Sus scrofa: one gene and its partner. The protein of the gene in region 1 interacts with the protein of each later gene in a pairwise test. Links are inferred from orthologs where the notes say so. Each region holds a gene or a part of one and is shown on either strand. Other genes may lie near its edges.

Region 1 (4,112 bases):
CCCCAAAACAGGAACGCACAGCCCACCCAACAGCACAAATAAGAATCTGCTGGTCTGGAGTCCCTGGGATATCGGCACCCCTACCCTGGGAGACCCCATGTCAGGGAAGCAGAGGAAATAAGGCCCTGTCCATGCTCCCAGGAACACTGATTGATTCCAGAACCTTCTTCTGAGGCCTATAGCACCCAGGAGTGGGGTGCAAACCAGGAAAGGGGAAGAGGCTGACAGCGAGCGCTCCCGCGGTGCACCTGCAGTGATCAAAAGGAGGATCCCGGAAGCTGGCTGGGCATGGGACGGGAGCTGGGCAGGCCCCCCACAGTGAGGATCTGGACAAGGGGCTGGATATTATTATGCCAGCGGCCCCGAGGAAGCTTTTTATTTTTTTATTTATTTATTTTATTTATTTATTTATTTATTTTGTCTTTTTTGTTGTTGTTGCTATTTCTTGGGCCACTTCCGCGGCATATGGAGGTTCCCAGGCTAGGGGTTGAATTGGGGCTGTAGCCACCGGCCTACGACGCCAGAGCCACAGCAACGCGGGATCCGAGCTGCGTCTGCAACCTACACCACAGCTCACGGCAACGCCGGATCTTTAACCCACTGAGCAAGGGCAGGGACCGAACCCGCAACCTCATGGTTCCTAGTCGGATTCGTTAACCACTGCGCCACGACGGGAACTCCCCCGAGGAAGCTTTTGAGCCAGGGAGGAACATGAGCTGTGAGTTTTTAAAATGCAGTGATAGACACTTGATAGAAGGATTGGAAGCCTCAGCACCAGGGCAACCGACCCTCACTCACCCACGCAGTTCTCTTGCTCATCCGGTTCATAGCCTGGTAGGCAGGGGGTGGCGTGTTCAGCAGGGGACACTGGTGGTGGTGGTCCCTCGCCATGCAGGTCATTGATGACAGCCGCCGAGCGGGGCAGGCACAAGTAGCCCCCGTAGTGGTTGATACATTTCATTTCCCCCTTGCAGGCCTCGGGGATGGTCAGGCATTCATTGACATCTGCGGAGAGGGGCCTGCTGGGCACAGCCAGTCTCCTGGGCTGGCCACGGAGGGGGTGGGCGGCAGGAGCCCAGTGCAGCCTCCTCTAAGCTGCGTGACCCAGGAAGGGCCTTCCCACTCTCCTCAGCTAAGGCTGCCTGCCCAGGACCACTTCCCAGTGCCACCAGGGCTGGTGGCAGGCTGGCTCTTGCTCCACTCACTTCCATTCTCTTATCCCCAAGAGGGTCTCTATGCCGCCCCAGAGCCCTGGTCCCAACTCAGCCCAAGAGTGAGGTGCAGGCCTTCTCGCCCACCCCCGCAGACGCTGCCCTCCCAGGTCACGATGGCACGAAGCTGGGTGGGAAAGTGATTAGAGGAGGTGGCCAGGAACCATGCCTCTGGGCAGCGCCCTGTTGGTCTCTGGACTCCTGGGGGGTGGGAGGAGGCTGTCCCATGTTTTTCTGAGAGGGAGGGGCCTGGATGGCTTCTCCACCCCCAGCTAAGCTGGCCCCCTGAGAACCAGAGCTGGCCACGGCCAGGCAGAGCTGGGCAGGGGACAGGCCACTGACTCCCACAGCAGCTCTCCGTGCTGGAGTTGCAATCCACTTCCTGGTGCTCCAAGCATACTCACCCCGGCAGTGCTGGCTGTCGGGGTCCCACTCATAGCCATCTGTGCATTCCTACAGGGGGACCAGAGGTGGCCAGTGGTCACCCCCTCTCCTCTAACTGACCAGGCCAAGACCAGAGCCCAAGCTTGGCCACCCTCCCCGCCTGCTCCAAACAACAGCTCCAGCTGCTCCACGGACCAGGGGAGGGGAGAACCTGCCCCAGCAGCAGCCACCCCAGGATCCTGGTCTTGGTGTCCCTGCCCAGCCCAGCCCAGGCCAGGGGCTCCACTGTCCCCACCGTGTAGCTGTCGGGCTCCTCCGAATCCTGGGGAGACGCTGCCCCCAAGAGCAACAGCAGCAGCGTCCAGAGCAGTAGAGACCCGGGGAGGCAGGAGGCGAAGGGGAGCATCCTGGGGCTGGGAGGTAGTGAGTGGGGGTCAGGGCGTCTGGGCCACGGATCCCCCATTGCCCGAACCAGGACTCAGAGACCTGGTCCCCGACACCACCCGCCCGGGACTGTGTCTGGGGCTTCGGAGCCTCCCAGGGCCGGGGGTCGACTGATCACGCAGGCCGGGGTTCAGGGCCCACCCGCCCCGGGTCGCCCCGCCCCCGCCCGGTCCCCCAGTGGCTCGGGCCGAGGAGCGCAGGCCTCTGGCTCGGTGCTGACGCCGCCGACTCGGCCGAGACTCTGGCTGGCGCCCTCCCCCCATGGACGGCCACTCACTTGGGCCCGTGACGGCCCGGAGGCCCGCGGCTCCGGCGGCTCGGCTGGCTCCGGTAGTGCCTGCGGGAGACGGACAGGCGGACAGCGCAGCTCCCTGGACGCGCGGCCCCAGGAAGCGCCCCCCGCCCGCCTGCCGCGGCGCGGCCCACCCCGGCGCCTCCGCCCGCCCCTCGGCGGATTCCTGAGCCCGCGCCAGGGGGAGGGACCCCGACCCCCGCTTCTCCGCCCCCGGCCGGCCACAGGCCCCACCCGGTCCCCCGCGGCGCCGCCCGGAGCCGCCTCCCGGCGCCAGGCCAGGGTCCCTTAGCACAGGATCCTGGGGCATTGACCCTGATGTCAAGCCCCCAACTCACTCTGGAGCCCCCAGGCTCTCAGTTTGTGCACCCAAAAATGTCATCCTGCGCACCTAGACCTTACCTAATCTGCACCCCTGGAATTCCTGTGCACCCACATCTTAATGCCAGGGACCCAGACTCTGCGCCTCCCAGAATGTCATCCTGGGCCCTTAGACTCCACCTAACCCTGGAACTTGCAGATCCTCCTCACTCTGCGCCACCAGAGTGTTATTCTGTGCACCCGGACAGTTATTCTGGAAATACCACAACCGCAACTTCATCCAGGGTCCCCAGACCCTCGCCCTGAGAAGAGAGACGCTCCCAGGTCCAGAACCGTCCAGTTCTGTCCCTTCTCCCTTCCATCCCCGGGACTGTCTTCAGCCAGGCGGTCCCTTCACTCCAGGACGGCCTCCCCCGGGCCCTCAGTCCCTGAGGCTACATCAGTTTGGGGCGGGGGCGGCAGTTCACTTTTGGCTCAGAATGAATGGAAGCCCCTGAGAAGTCGAGCAGGGCTGAACTCGGGCGTGCAGGGCTCCAGGGTCCGGGGCCATCACCTTCCTGGCCATCTTCCTACCAATGTCTCCCCCGCACACACCCCACCTCCCTGCCCCGGGCTGTCTGCCTCTTTTCCCAGGGAGACGGAGCGCCTTAAGGGGAGGAGATTGGGCGGAGCTGGCTCCCAGGAAGGGGCGTGGTCTCGCCCTGCCCACGTCTCAGGGCGGGGCCAGACGGGAAAGGGCTGCGTGTCCAGGGAACCCCTGCCTGGAGGCAGATGGCCAGCAGGAACTGTTAAGCCCTTTCCCACCCCAAGTGGTCCTCATAATCGCCCCCTATAGCAGCCCCGCCCGAGGGGGGTGTGTGAAGGAGAGGACATTCCAGGGGGTCCTGAGGTGACCCTTTCGGGTTCAGGGTGAAATGGAGAGCTCCTACCTCCCCTTCCCCCACATCCTCTAAGCAGCCCCCTCTCCCCGCATCCCTGGGGTGAGGGCGGGGGAGGAGGCTAAAAATAATAACTCCTTAAAACCAAAAAGACAGACAATAACAAGTGTCGGGGATGTTAAGGAGAAATTGAAACCTTGAAACGGTCATACACTGTGGGTGGGAATGTAAAGTGGGAGGACTCCTGGGGAAAACAGTCTGGCAGGTTCTCAAAATGTGAACACATGCCCCAGTGATGTCCCGCCTAGGTATACGCCCGGGGCATTGAAAACGTATGTCCACACCAAAAGCCTGTGCACGATGGTCATAGCAACACTAGTCATAAGAACCAAAATACAGGAGTTCCCCTCATGGCTCAGCAGTTAACAAACCCAACTAGCATCCATGAGGTCCTGGGTTTGATCCCTGGCCTTGCTCAGTGGGTTAAGGATCTGGCATTACGTGAGCTGTGGTGTAGGTCAAAGACGTGGCTCAGATCTGGTGTTGCTGTGGTTCTGGCATAGACCAGCAGCTACAGCTCTG
Region 2 (4,230 bases), on another chromosome or scaffold:
CCCACAGGAAAGGAGCCAACTTTGTAGGGACCAACAAATTGTAGCCAAGCCAGACACAGAGATGCTTAAGCATATCTGAAACTTGAATATATTTATTACAGACATCTTAAGACCCGTAAACTCTGCTCTGGATCACATCCTTCTGGGATCTCGGAGCTGTTCATGATTGTACAGGAAATGGGAACTATCACAAAGGATAACTGATAAAACTCAGTGTGGTACTTCGGGAACATCAAGACATTGTGCGACATGCAAAAGACTATTCACGAATCACACAAAATATACATTCATTGTGCCATCCATCACATTAACAACTGAGCTAAAAATACATCATATCCAGCTACAATAACTGTGGAGGGAAGAAGCTGGTGTGAAATAATACGTTTGGGTCCTGAATACTCCAGCGCAAATTTGAAAGAGTGTGGCCAGAGAAAGGAGAAAGGCGTGGGGATGGGGAGAGACTCAGCCCAGGGAGCCAGGTTTCTGACCCTTTATGCTGCAGGCTTTCTTAACTTGCTGAAAGAACAAACGGAGGCGACCCTCTGAGGCCTCTGATTGATTTTACTGGGAGCTTTTAGTCTTTAACCTATAATCACATACAAAGTTGTACCAGCTTAGAGAGTTTGCCCACCCTATTTTCATCCCTTAATCTAAACATTTCTAGAAAATCTGTATAAAGATAAATCTTTCAGGACAAAGTATTTACAACCAGCAGACTCACACACATGAAACTGAGTTAAATTAAGGGGTGAATTAATTGTGTAAACACGCTCATAGTGCATCTCTTCCTCATGAGCTCCTGGACTCTCTTCTCTCTCTATCCTACTTTAAGGGCAGAGTAGGGGAGAACTGTAAATACACGGTTAGATATAAGATGAGAGGCCTCCCTCTGACATGTTTCTGCTGGCAAAGGAGACTATTTTCCAAAGGGCATCTGAAAGGAACTGTAGGGTCTGTCAAAGAAATCTCCTAAAACTAGGGGCGTTAGGGGCCTTGAGAAAATTGATGTTGGCACTCAATTTGCATTGCGGAGCTAGCACTCCCCTGCCCCCACACCAGTCTCTAATCCAGAATTCACTGGAAACACAGTATCCTGGCCAGGAGTTCCCCAGATAGGATCAGAGAGGAAGAGAGAGATTGTAAATGGACAGGAAGATAAGCTAAGAATGTGCTTTGGGAAAGAAGTCCCAGCCGGAAGAGTCGAGTCTGGGGCTGGGGCGGCCTCAGTGGGAGGTAGGTAGAGTGTCTGAGGTAGCAGACCCCGGGGAAGGAACGCAGGGCGAGGAGCTGGACTTCTCGGAGGATTCCTCGGCCTTCTCCTCACTGCCCGGTGGGGTGGCTGGAGAGATGGGCAAGAGGCCCTCCTTCTCTCGTTTCTTCTGCTTCATTCGGCGGTTCTGGAACCAGATCTTCACCTGGGTCTCATTGAGCTGCAAGGACGCGGCGATCTCCACCCTGCGGGCCCGCGTCAGGTACTTATTGAAGTGAAACTCCTTCTCCAGCTCCGTGAGCTGCTTGGTGGTGAAGTTGGTCCGCACCGCGTTGGGCTGACCCACGTAGCCGTACTCGCCAACTTTCCCTGAGGGCAAGGGGAAGCGATGGGGAAAAAAGGGGAAAAAATTTATATTCGATATGAGAGTCCCTGTAGGCTTCAGAGCAAGATTCAGGCAAAGGGGGAATCAAGAATTTCTCAACACAAGCCGGGCTTGGGAGGGTGAGTGATGAGGTGTAAAGCGTTCATCTGAAGTCACCCATTAGCATGGTCAGACCAGTGATTAATGGAGCCTGGAGATATTAACACACACATACACACCTACCCACTTTCCCACGTCCTACTTCCAAAACCTCTAAAACTCAGCCCCCTTGGAAACACAACAATCCCAGATGTTCCTTTGTGCCAACCACACCTGGGCAGCCTCCCAACACCCTACAACACCGGTGGGAAGCAAGAATTTTAAAGAAAAAAACAAAACAAAACCTTGATTAATTTTCCTTGGAAACTAAGCATACCGGCTCCTTCCTGAATAATCAAGGATCATTCATGGAAGGGCAAGACTGACCTGTTTTGGGAGGGTTCCTTTTGACTTTCATCCAGTCAAATGTCTGCGCTGGAGAAGACGTCTCTGATGCAGGGGAGCGGCAGGCTTCTTGGTGGCTGGCGTGGAGAGGGGACAAGGAGTTATTATACGTGGCCAGGGCCAGGCTCTGATGCTCTTGTCCATATGAGTGGTGAATATATTGAGGCGAGCCCACCGCGCCCCCGGCATAACCCTGGTGGTGGTGGTGATGCTGGACCATGGGAGATGAGAGATTTCCAGAGTAAACAGCGGGAGCGCACGTGGGGTACCCACCACTTACTTCTGCTTCCTGATTTAACGCGTAGGAGCTGTAAGGCGCGCCAAAGTTCTGCGCGCCGTAGCTTGGACCACAACTCGAGTGGGAGTAGGACACCCCCAGGTTCCCAGGAGTCTGGTAGGTGGCCGGCTGGGGGTGGTGATGGTGGTGGTGGTGGTGGTGGTGGTGGGGCGGGCTGATCTGCACCCCCCTGCCCACTAGGAAGCGGTCGTCGCCGCCACAGCTATTGGCACTGACCGCGCACGACTGGAAAGTTGTAATTCCATGGTCGGAGGGGTAGGCTCGCGCTGAGCAGGTCCCCGAGTCGCCACCGCTGAGGATGGGGTATTCCAGGAAGGAGCTCATTCTTGCATTGTCCATCTGTCACTGAGTGACCGGGTCCTGCGAAGCCCTGAGTGACCGTGCCAACTTTCTCACTTCCTCCATGGGGCCGGAGAAGAAAAATGATATGAATGTACAGTGCGCAAGAGGGGGGGCGGGAGGGCGGAGGGCGCTAGGGGAGGGGCACGTGACTCTCTCAGCCAATGGCGGAGCCTCCTGCGAAAGTTTGCTGGCTCCTGCGGTGATGGATCACCCTTTCAGTGGCATTTAAATCCCCGGCGCTCCTCAGTCTAGGTGACGCGCAGTCGCCCCCCCAGGCAGCCCGGGCGGCAGCAGCAGCTGCGGCGGCTGCAGGGGCAGATTCCCAGCGTTGGGGCGAAGGGGAGCAGGGGCTGCCTTCTGCGAGTGGCCGACTCCGATCGCCCCCCTCCGGGAGGTGGGGGCTGAGAGCCATCCTCGGTCACCGCCCCCCTCCCCACCGTGCACAGAAAGAGGAACTGGCAAGAGGTGAGACGCCAAGAGGGCTCCGCGCTCTCTTGGGTCGGGAGTCAGTGGGAGGGAGCTCGCTGGGCCGCCACTTGCACACTGGCTGAGCCCGGAACGCGAGGAACTGGAAGGGTCGCTCCCCGGGCGCTTTCACTGCCGTCCCTTCTGTGATGCCTTGGGGGCAGTGAGGAGAGCCGAGAACGGTGGCGGGGGACGAGGCTGGGCCACCACCAGGTCTCCGGAAGGAGAGGGAAGTGCGCAGAGGGCTGGCTGGGGGAACCCGAGTGGGCGTGGAGGGGACAAGCGCAAGAAAGGAAACTTCCCTCTCCCTGTAGGGTCTTGAAGCCCCCGTTCCTCCCCCACCCCCACGAGCTGTTAGCGTGGCAACGGGGAGCTGCTGTAATTCGATGCTCGGGAACGGGTGAACCTTGGGAGCTAAGCTTGCCGGAAAAGGCCGGGGGTGGCCCGGCTCTTCGCCCTCCCTCTCTCCTCGCTCTCCGCCCCTTTCTCCTCCCCACTCAGCTCTGTTCTGGGAGCCCTGCGGGATCCGGAGCAACTCTGCTGCCGGATTTTGAGGGGTAGGAGGCGGGGGAGAGAGATGACGCTAGCCGACGTGGCCAGCGTGGGGGCCGGGCCGTGCGCTGCAGGCCATCTGCCGGCTCCCTAGGACCCAGGAGCCTGTGTACACCGACCTGGGCCTCAAAGGGCGAGACCACAGTGAAGTACGATGAACTCCCCCTCCACCTCCCCTCCCACCCCGCCACCCCCAGAAACGTTTCTCGTTTCCTGGAGGCGAATGTTAGGCGTGCTAGAGCTTCCTTCATCCACCCCCCCCCCATTCTACTGCACAGCTGAAGTGGGGGTGGGGGCTGGCAGGTGGGAGGGGCAGTGGACAGATGGCTGATGGTGGACAGGACATTTTCTTCTTCCCCAACAACACCTCCTCCCTTTTGTAAACTGGCTGTGTGGTTCCCTGTGTGAACCTTCAAGTCCTTCCCTAGAGAGACACGTGCAAATCTGAGCGTCATCCCAGGACAGGAGTCCTGTTCTCCATCACCCTCAGCCTAC

Evidence for each region. The genes of interacting proteins can lie anywhere in the genome.
Region 2: the proteins of EFEMP2 (region 1) and HOXA1 interact in a two-hybrid assay, tested with the Homo sapiens proteins (2 studies listed by BioGRID and IntAct). The link is inferred for Sus scrofa from reciprocal best matches to the Homo sapiens genes EFEMP2 and HOXA1.

The regions. Positions count from the first base shown.
Region 1 is NC_010444.4:6,453,875-6,457,986, reverse strand, and holds the start of EFEMP2 (EGF-containing fibulin-like extracellular matrix protein 2), read right to left. Parts: upstream 2,833-4,112; 5' UTR 2,734-2,832; intron 2,377-2,733; 5' UTR 2,317-2,376; intron 2,009-2,316; 5' UTR 2,002-2,008; coding exon 1,891-2,001; intron 1,665-1,890; coding exon 1,616-1,664; intron 1,006-1,615; coding exon 799-1,005; intron 1-798. UniProt on the Homo sapiens protein: Plays a crucial role in elastic fiber formation in tissue, and in the formation of ultrastructural connections between elastic laminae and smooth muscle cells in the aorta, therefore participates in terminal differentiation and maturation of smooth muscle cell (SMC) and in the mechanical properties and wall integrity maintenance of the aorta.
Region 2 is NC_010460.4:45,476,145-45,480,374, reverse strand, and holds HOXA1 (homeobox protein Hox-A1), read right to left. Parts: upstream 2,815-4,230; 5' UTR 2,716-2,814; coding exon 2,061-2,715; intron 1,580-2,060; coding exon 1,224-1,579; 3' UTR 69-1,223; downstream 1-68. UniProt on the Homo sapiens protein: Sequence-specific transcription factor. Regulates multiple developmental processes including brainstem, inner and outer ear, abducens nerve and cardiovascular development and morphogenesis as well as cognition and behavior.